Kluyveromyces lactis: one gene and its partner. The protein of the gene in region 1 purifies or fractionates together with the protein of each later gene. This does not show direct contact. Links are inferred from orthologs where the notes say so. Each region holds a gene or a part of one and is shown in the gene's direction. Other genes may lie near its edges.

Evidence for each region. Proteins that work in one complex are often made in the same cells at the same time.
Region 2: the proteins of RAT1 (region 1) and GRC3 purify together in Saccharomyces cerevisiae (affinity purification with mass spectrometry; 3 studies listed by BioGRID, with this or other methods). This does not show direct contact. The link is inferred for Kluyveromyces lactis from reciprocal best matches to the Saccharomyces cerevisiae genes RAT1 and GRC3.

The regions. Positions count from the first base shown.
Region 1 is NC_006042.1:702,140-707,277, forward strand, and holds RAT1 (ssRNA exonuclease RAT1), read left to right. Parts: upstream 1-1,815; coding exon 1,816-4,794; downstream 4,795-5,138. Other genes in the region: Cu(2+)-transporting P-type ATPase CCC2, read left to right, coding at 1-1,473. UniProt on the Saccharomyces cerevisiae protein: Possesses 5'->3' exoribonuclease activity. Required for the processing of nuclear mRNA, rRNA and small nucleolar RNA (snoRNA) precursors.
Region 2 is NC_006041.1:80,456-85,242, forward strand, and holds GRC3 (polynucleotide 5'-hydroxyl-kinase), read left to right. Parts: upstream 1-2,039; coding exon 2,040-3,935; downstream 3,936-4,787. Other genes in the region: alkaline-responsive transcriptional regulator RIM101, read left to right, coding at 61-1,614; putative AAA family ATPase RIX7, read right to left, coding at 3,971-4,787. UniProt on the Saccharomyces cerevisiae protein: Polynucleotide 5'-kinase involved in rRNA processing. Required for the efficient termination by RNA polymerase I and the processing of the IST2 pre-rRNA internal transcribed spacer localized between the 5.8S and 25S rRNAs.

The DNA.
Region 1 (5,138 bases):
TTCAGAGCTATTCGTGTCGGAGAAGATACAAAATTAGCGAACATTATCGCAACGATGAAAAAGGCACAGTTATCTAAAGCTCCTATTCAAAAATACGCTGATAAGATGGCGGGCATATTTGTCCCGTTTGTGATATCACTATCAGCAATAACATTTATAACTTGGATGCTTGTGAGTTACACGATGAAGACTCCTCCTCTCATCTTTAACAGTGAAAATGGCAAATTCTTCATGTGCATGCAAATGTCTATTTCTGTAATTATTGTTGCATGTCCTTGTGCATTGGGTCTAGCGGCACCTACGGCGATTATGGTTGGTACTGGTGTAGGTGCTAGTCATGGTGTTCTCATCAAAGGTGGTGATGTTTTGGAGAAGTGTAGTGCTCTACAGACGTTTTTGTTCGATAAGACAGGTACCCTCACGACGGGGCGGATGAGTGTAGAAAATTTCATTAATTATAACAGTGATGTATCTGATTTACACTGGAAGATGATTTCATTGTGTGAATCAATAGGAGAACATCCAGTTGCAAAAGCTATTGTCAATTATGCTGATTCCCACGTAAATAAATCAAGCATTTTCGATTTGGATTTATCGAATGAGGAAGTTCTCATTGGAAAGGGAATTTCCTGTAACATCACAGATAAAAATACTTCTAAAATCCATACAATAACCATAGGTAACAAGAAATTATTTCCCGATGAGAGTTTGAGTGATATCGCTTCTTCTACTTTAACAGAATCTTATGTTTCCATCGATGGTAGTTTAGTCGGCAAATTTGAAATATCTGACAGGGTCAAAGAAGACGCACATTTTGTTGTAGAATATTTACAAAATTTGGGCATTAAATGCTGCATGGTCACAGGAGATGCGCATCAATCTGCTCTGAAAGTGGCACAACAACTTGGCATATCCGCTAATGATGTCTTCAGTGAAGTCACTCCTGAGCAGAAACGTGATATTGTCATTCAACTCCAAAACAACGGTACAGAGAGGGTTGCCTTTGTCGGAGATGGTATTAATGATTCTCCGGCTTTGGTTGAGGCAGATCTAGGAATTTCGATATCTTCTGGTACTGATATTGCAATCGAAGCTGCCGATATCGTTATTCTTGATTCGGATAATAAAAATAATTCGTTAAAAGGTTTGGTTTATGCACTTGATATTGCGCGTAAAACATTCTATAGAGTGAAGCTGAATTTCTTTTGGGCTGTCTGTTATAACACATTCATGATTCCCATTGCTATGGGTTTATTAGCTCCTTGGGGTATCACTTTACATCCAATGTTGTCTAGTGCTGCAATGGCTCTAAGTTCCGTGTCCGTGGTCTGCAGTTCGCTAATGTTGAAGAGGTGGACACCGCCTTCACTCAATATCAAATCAATGGAAGCTTCCGGTGGATTGTCATGGCTTAGATTTGGTAGAAACAGTAACAGAGGTGATGATATTGAACTTCAGGAAAGATTGATGTAACCTTAGCTATTTACGCTATTGCAATTCTTAAATATCAGTACTTGTATTATAACATTAATAAAATTCATATTCGTAATAAACGAAAGATTGTATAATAGAATCGCTGGATGAGTTTATTGTACAGTGAACCAAGCGCTGTGTTTAGCAATTACTGGTATTATTGTTACTCAAAGCGGTTTGTCACTACATCGTTGATGAGCTGAGTTATTTATCCGGGTAACAATAAACAATAAGTAAAATTAATCGATGAGATGAACATAACTTTAGAAGTACAGATGAATGCATACTGTAATCTAATAGGCAGTTGGTACAAATAGCGAGAAGTAAGGCCAGGTACTCACAATGGGTGTTCCGTCCTTTTTTCGTTGGTTGTCTAGGAAATATCCTAAAATCATTTCTCCTGTGTTGGAAGAATATCCAGTTATCGAAGATGGTGTTCAACTACCGCTTGATTACTCTTCGGCCAATCCCAATGGTGAGTTGGATAACCTTTATCTCGATATGAATGGTATTGTTCACCCTTGTTCACATCCGGAGAATAAGCCACCACCTGAAACAGAGGATGAAATGCTTCTTGCTGTGTTTGAGTACACAAATCGCGTTTTGAATATGGCCAGACCAAGAAAAGTCTTGATGATAGCGGTTGATGGTGTTGCACCAAGAGCGAAGATGAATCAACAGAGAGCACGTAGGTTTCGTAGTGCAAGGGATGCAAAACTCCAAAATGAAGCCAGAGAGCAAGTATTACGAGAAAGAGAGGACTATGGTGAGACGATTGATGAAAATGTCAAAAGTAAAAAGACATGGGATTCAAACGCAATTACTCCAGGTACCCCATTTATGGATAAACTAGCTACAGCTTTAAGATATTGGACAAGTTTCAAGTTAGCAACTGATCCCGGGTGGAAAAATTTACAAATTATTATAAGTGACGCTACTGTTCCAGGTGAAGGTGAACATAAAATAATGAATTTCATTAGATCTCAAAGAGCAGACACTCAATATAATCCAAATACAACACATTGTATATATGGGTTAGATGCAGATTTGATCTTTTTGGGACTAGCAACCCACGAACCTCATTTCAAAATATTAAGAGAGGATGTGTTCGCCAATAACAACTATAAAAAACCAAAGCCTCAAGATATGATAAATTTATCTGAAGAAGAGAAACAACAGCTTATTCAACAAGATTCAGAAAAGCCATTCTTATGGCTCCATATCAGCGTTTTAAGAGAATATCTTTCAGCAGAATTAGCGATTCCACATTTATCGTTCCAGTTTGATTTTGAACGAGCAATCGACGATTGGGTTTTCATGTGTTTCTTCTGTGGTAATGATTTCCTACCGCATTTACCTTGTCTTGATGTGAGAGAGAATAGCATTGACATTTTGGTGGATATATGGAAGACTGTGTTGCCCAAAACAAAAACCTACCTAACATGTGATGGTACACTCAATTTGGAACCTGTAGAAGCTTTACTTGAACAATTAGGAGACCGTGAAACAGATCTTTTCAAAAAGAAATACATTCAGGAAGTTCGTAAGCAAGAGGCTCATGATAGGCGAAAGAAATTGAAAAGTAACCCCAATGTTTCCCAGGGCAAGGTCGACAGAAATTTTATGATTCCGTTGGAGAATATGCCGGTCTATGATGTTGATGGCAACGCCGCTGAAGGCTCTTTGAATTTGTCTAATAAGGATTTCGCTAATATGCGTAAAGAAATTAATTTGGCGAATGAAGGTGATGGCGAAGCAGCTAAAGCTTTGAAACTAAAAAGTGAGAAGAATAGCGGTGTGGTCGAGTTTTCATCGGAAGAATTGAAAAATAGCGTGCAACTGTCGAAGACTGCGAACTACGATGCTGCTACCAGCTTACAGGAGAAACTTATTGCTAAGAAGATGGCAATGAGAGATGAGGAAAATGCAGAAGAATTGTCGTTGAAACGGAAAAGTGAAGATGTTGACTCTGCTGAAAAGGAAACATCCAATGAACCTGAGGATGATGAGGCCGATTATGATGAAGACGAAGGCTCTACTGTTCCACCAGCGGTCATCCACACCGGTATTGTAAAATCAGGGTTCATTGACACCGATGAGTCGGTTAGACTTTACGAACCTGGATATCATGATCGTTACTATCAACATAAATTCCATGTTCCAGCAAAAGATATTCCAGCTCTGCAAAAGGATGTGATTAGGTGCTATGTGGAAGGTATTTCATGGGTTTTATTATATTATTATCAGGGATGTGCGTCTTGGACTTGGTACTATCCATACCATTATGCTCCTTTTGCTCAGGATTTCAAGAATATAAAAAATCTAGATATTCACTTTGATCTTGGTGAACCATTCTTACCATACGAACAGTTAATGAGTGTTTTACCAGCAGCATCAGGCCACGCACTACCCGAAATATTCAGACCATTAATGTCAGATCCAAACTCTGAGATTATAGATTTCTATCCTGAAGAATTCCCAGTGGATATGAATGGTAAAAAGATGGCTTGGCAGGGTATTGCACTATTGCCATTTATAGATGAAACACGTTTACTGAAAACAGTTCGAGAACAATATTCTAAGCTTTCTGATTCAGAAAAGGCAAGAAATGTTAGGAAGAAGGATGCACTTTTGATCAGCAACAAGAATGTGAATTACGACCTGTTTATGAAGAATTTATATGGAGAAAACCCCGTTAACGTGATAGAGTTTAGACATTTCAAATCTGGTTTAAGTGGATTCGTAACACAAGCTGAAGAAGGGTTTGAACTAAACTCCAAGCTGATATGTCCTATTAATGGGGGTGGTTTGCCAGATTTGAGTACAAATTTATTCCTAAAACTTTCGTATACGCAGCCTGTGGTTGCGGGTAGATGTAAATCGTTAGTATTGAACGGATATATCCCACCTCAACCAATGCTTACCCCACAGGACCGAGACTGTATCATTTATAAATACAGTAACCGTTGGAATCCTTCCATGATGAAATACAACATTGTGCCTGTTGGCCCATCGGGGATTACCCAATATCAGCCCAGGGTTGGAGGTTACAGAAGTTTCTTCTTCCATAAAGAACAGACAGCTTATGCTCAACAACCGCAACAAAATAGAGAGTATATGCACTCGCAACAGAGACAGCCACAGGGCAGCAGATATCAACAGTCTAGGTATAATAATGGAAACTACAATAATAGTAACAACGGTTATTCTGATAATAATAATGGTAATACCGGCAAATACAACCGTCATTATAACAACAGTAGAGGTAATAGCAATCGATACTCGAATAGTAACGATAGAAGAAGGGAATTCAGAAGATGATGAACTGTGGACAATTTTATACCCGTTTATATCAGCACATTTATTTGTAATACATACTATAACATCAACATCCAAAGCATATTACTGAGCAACAGGAGTAGAAGCATTCGCGACAGTGATCAGCTCCACAGATACTCCTTTTCCAGTATCATGAACCTGGATACAAAATACACGTGATTTGTAGTTTCACTACTGTGTCTAATATTTCTCCAACTGTATAACAATTATCCGATATAGTGTAACGGCTATCACATCACGCTTTCACCGTGGAGACCGGGGTTCGACTCCCCGTATCGGAGTATTTTTTTCAGTTTTTCAAGAGAAGTCTTTTTTCTTTTTTTCAC
Region 2 (4,787 bases), on another chromosome or scaffold:
AGAAATAAACAGTCAAGCCATTGACGAAGTCCATATATTCAATTCATTTTCTCCTATAAAATGTCACCTATCGCACACTTATTGAATGCCAGTACCGGCACTGATTCAGGTAGTCATTTGCGCGATATCCATGGTCATCACGATAGTCACGATCACGGTTCGGAGGAGCAGGCTGTCAGTCCTTTGTCTCCTCGCTCGTATCCATCTCCTCGCAGCAACAGCAGTAGTAGCTGCGAAGAGAGTCAATCCTCAGCTGGGGTTCTAGCTAACATTCATACCGGACCGGCTTCCCCTCATGGAAAGGCATGTGTTGCGTCTTCACCCCTTTCCACCACTGGTATGAGATCTGCCTCTACGCCTTCTAGCTCTGACGAAGATACTGTTCATTTGCACCGCTGCCAATGGAAAGGCTGTAGTTTGGAGTTCACTTCTCCCGAACTACTTTATCATCATCTTTGCCAAGATCATGTTGGCCGTAAATCACAGAAGAATTTGCAACTGAACTGTCAATGGGGCGATTGTCAGACTAAAACAGTTAAAAGAGACCATATCACGTCTCATTTGAGAGTTCATGTGCAATTAAAACCTTTCGCTTGCTCCACTTGTAATAAAAAATTCAAAAGACCTCAAGATTTAAAGAAACATTTGAAGGTACATAACGAAGAACTTTCACTACTGAAAAAAAAACGTGGTCCGAAGCCATCCAATAAGCTGGGAAAGATTTCAAATGACAGATCCCGTGCTCATCAGAGATTCACTTTACCATCTATTTCTTTGGATAAATTTATTCACGAGGAGGTGAAGACTCAACAACCCGTGTACTCTCAACAATTGGCAGAAAAGATGGCCATCGTCCTGCTGTTACCTGTTAATAACAACAACGCAACTTCCCCTCCTTCTGCGTCTTCTGCTTCGTCCACTGCAGTTTCCCCGAACTTGGTATCGCACCATATGGTTCTTCCTTACCAAACCCAGCAACGTCCTCTCGTGGGTCACGGTGCTGAATTGAGATCCGCTGTTGGATTCTTCAATAATTTATCCATGGATATGTCTAGAAACTATGCTAACAATAACCTACCGACCGCTAACTTGGGTCCTAACCCGGTACCTGCACCACAATCATACCCACTAATCCCTAAGTTGCCCAGTATTTCAGCCAGGCCAAATGTTGGAGCTCCACCTCCGGTATTGTCCGTATTCAACAGGTTTGATACACATCAAACATCTCCTTCTTCATCATCATCAGCATTCTATCCTCAACACTACTCGAATAATTACAGCCTACACCAAAGAACTGCGCTGTTGGATGCTGAGGCTAACGAAGATATCCCCGAAAAGGACAACGTATCTTTGGAGGAGTCATTCACTTCGTTAAATCTATCCTCAGAAGAGCAAGACTTGGAATTATTCTACGAAACCTATTCAACTGTCAAGTTAGTTAAAGATTATTTGTTATGCGAACTTATGGAGGAGTTAGATGAATTCAAAGAGGAAGAGGAAGAGCAAGGCTTTACGTCATTTGATGAATTTAGTGACTCCAAAGAATGTGTCATTGAAGGAAGAATTCCGTCGAACAAGATATCTCTATCAAAATATCCTCAGGTTGTGATATAGCCTCGTTATAGTAGAATATTACTCCGAATTTTTTCTGCAATGTTATGACACATATACTTGATGACATGGTTTTGGGGCGGCAATCTCTTTTTTTTGTTTATAATTTTTTTTTGTGGATACAATTATAAGGTTAAAGCTGACAGTTTATATGTAATGTTTTTTATTATTTTCTAAGGAGTATGTACAACTATAATTCATGCATAGTTCCCGGTAGGTTTGATTTTGAGTTTTCTCTCAAGATGACGACAGCTTTTGGTTTCCCTTGCTATTAGATGCACTGATTATGAGCTCAGTAAAATGTCAACAAAAATTTCAGAACAAAACAGAAAAAAGTCTCAGTATGAGATGAGATGAGAAGAGGTAAGGTGCAATAAACTCAGCATTCGAATGCCACTTGCTCGGTTTCCAACAGAACCATATTTGAGATGTCTGAAGATATTCTAACATACACCGCGAACACCGATTCAGACGATTCAGATGTGGAACAAAGAGAAATCGAAAAGAAATACAAGACTTCTAGCGAAACGCCAGTAGTGCAACTCTACGATGGAGATGACTATGACAATGATGATATCAGGGAAACGAATGGGAATGACTTTCCTAACGAAGAAGATGAATCAAACCAGCTGTATTCGCCCGTTGTTGACATGAACTTCTTCACTCTATCCGATGAGTGTACTGAAGTTATAATATGCTTAGAAAAGAATCAACACCTTCTAATATGCGGTCAGTTCAATCTACAAATTATAAAAGGCGGGATTACATATAACAACGTTCATTATAACAGTGGTTATAAAAACTGGGAATTCTGGCATCCCGCTTGTAATGCAATTTCGCCAATAGTGTCTTCTTTTTATGCCGGTTGGGAATCTAAATTGTTTCTTAACCGAGAATATCAACATTTCACAACACAGATCGAAAGCTACGACTGCGTCCTAAAAATCAGCAATGGCTGCAATATAACAGAATTATCTAGTTTATTACCTGAGCTTAGAGATATGTGGGGTCCTTTGAATATTTCATTGCTACCGGGAATTGCCAGAAAGCAACTAACGTTCAACATTATCAGTAAAATTTCCGATTCTGTAAGAATATTGGATATATCAACCGAATGGTCAACAGTCATCGATGAAATGCGTATATTCCACGCTAACTCGTCACAAGATATGAGGGTCATGGTAATAGGAGGTAAGAACTCAGGAAAATCCACTTTGATGCGGCTTCTTGTCCAAAAATTTTTGCATAGTAACAACGATCTATCATATGAAGCCATACACTACCTTGATATTGATCCTGGTCAGCCAGAGTACTCGCCACCTGAAAGCATATCATGGAATAAAGTAGACCCGAAATCTATGTCCTTAGGCCAACATCTTTGCCAAGGAAGATTCACAACCATAAAACAGCATTTCATAGGATCCTCATCACCTCAGGATTGGCCAGAAACATACTCTAACGCTGTAGAATCACTTTTGAAAGAGTGGCAGACAGAGAATTTCATGGGGACATCATTTTTAAATATTCCTGGGTGGATTAAAGGATTTGGTGTTAAAATTATCAACCATGCACTTGACCATTTCAAGCCAACTCACATCATATTTCTATCTTATAATGGGCTGCCCTTTTCGTCCGAAATTAAAGTCCCTGACGCTTTCAGTACAACTCAGCGGTCAACTTACAAACCTATAATACTACAATTGCATTCTCCTGCTGTGGGTAAACACATATCCCATGCTTTACAAAGATTTAACGCAGCTAAAATCAGGCAGTTCAAGATTACAGCATATTTACATAAAAAATATGACCGAAATTTTGTAATCAATCCATTGGTCATGCAGAAACCTCAACTAACTTCTATTGGCAACCGCGGTATAGTTGGTTTTGAGTTTCTCCAATATTCCAATAGCTCTTTGTATCACGATGATATCAAACTATCTTTAGATGGGACGGTCGTTGCTCTTCATAGGGCAGATAGTACCCCAGACGTGCTATTCAAGGGCATATTCCCAGTGATGAAGAATTACTCAAAAATTAACACTGAATTTGTGGGACTTGCTTTGATTCATTCTATTGATCTTGAACAGTCCCTCATCTACATGTATATTCCTGAGAACCTCTTTCGGGCCTTAAGAGAAACGGAAAACAAATGGGTCTTAGTACGTGGAAAGACGGAAACACCCATCTGCGAGTTATACCCAAATAATGGCATATTCAAAAGTGAAGTTGATATTCCATACGTTTCTCTTTACCAAAAGAAGAGACATGAACACGTATGGAAAGTAAGAAAAAATGTGATGAGAAGAGGACATCACATGAAATGACATCATATTTATTACATATTTGTAGAATTTAAAGCTCATTCAGACCCATCTGAAGAATCGTTCCATCCCATCCTTTTGTTTAGTCTGTCATATCTAGTTCTATCCTTATCACTGACGGAGGGTTTTACTTTCTTTAAAGCGTTTTCGAAATCTTTCATATAGACAATTACATCTTCAGTTGGAGAGTTTGTTGTGAGATCTTCGAATTCTTTGTCTAGGTTGTTCTCCCCTACTGACATGATTTCATCAGTTTTGAAAAAGTTTCGTTTGAGAGCCAGGACGGATGATTCTCGGACCAGTGCGGCGATATCTGCACCCGAAAAGTTCTTGCAACGTTCATCATTAACAATCCTGTTTATATCTACGTCGTCTGCAATTGGAGTTCCGTTTGATCTAATCAAAGTTCTCATAATATCGACCTTTTCTTCGAAATTTGGTAATTCTATGAAAAGGGTTTTATCGAGTCTCCCTGGTCTTAGCATCGCTGGGTCTATCATATCTGGTCTATTCGTCGCGCCTACAACGAATATTCCTCTCCTATCGTTTAAACCATCCAATTCTGTTAGTAAGGTATTAACAACACGAGAAGATGACTCCGACAAAGACGCATCTCTTCTTGGAACGAGAGCATCTAATTCATCGAAGAATATTATACATGGTACGGATGCACGTGCTCTGTTGAATACTTGTCTTATTGCCCTCTCTGATTCACCAACGTATTTGTTTAATAGTTCAGGACCCTTGATGGAGATAAAGTTTGCTCTGGATTCATTAGCAACAGCTTTAGCTAAAAGAGTCTTACCACAACCTGGAGGTCCCCATAAAAGAACACCTGCTGGCGCACTAATACCA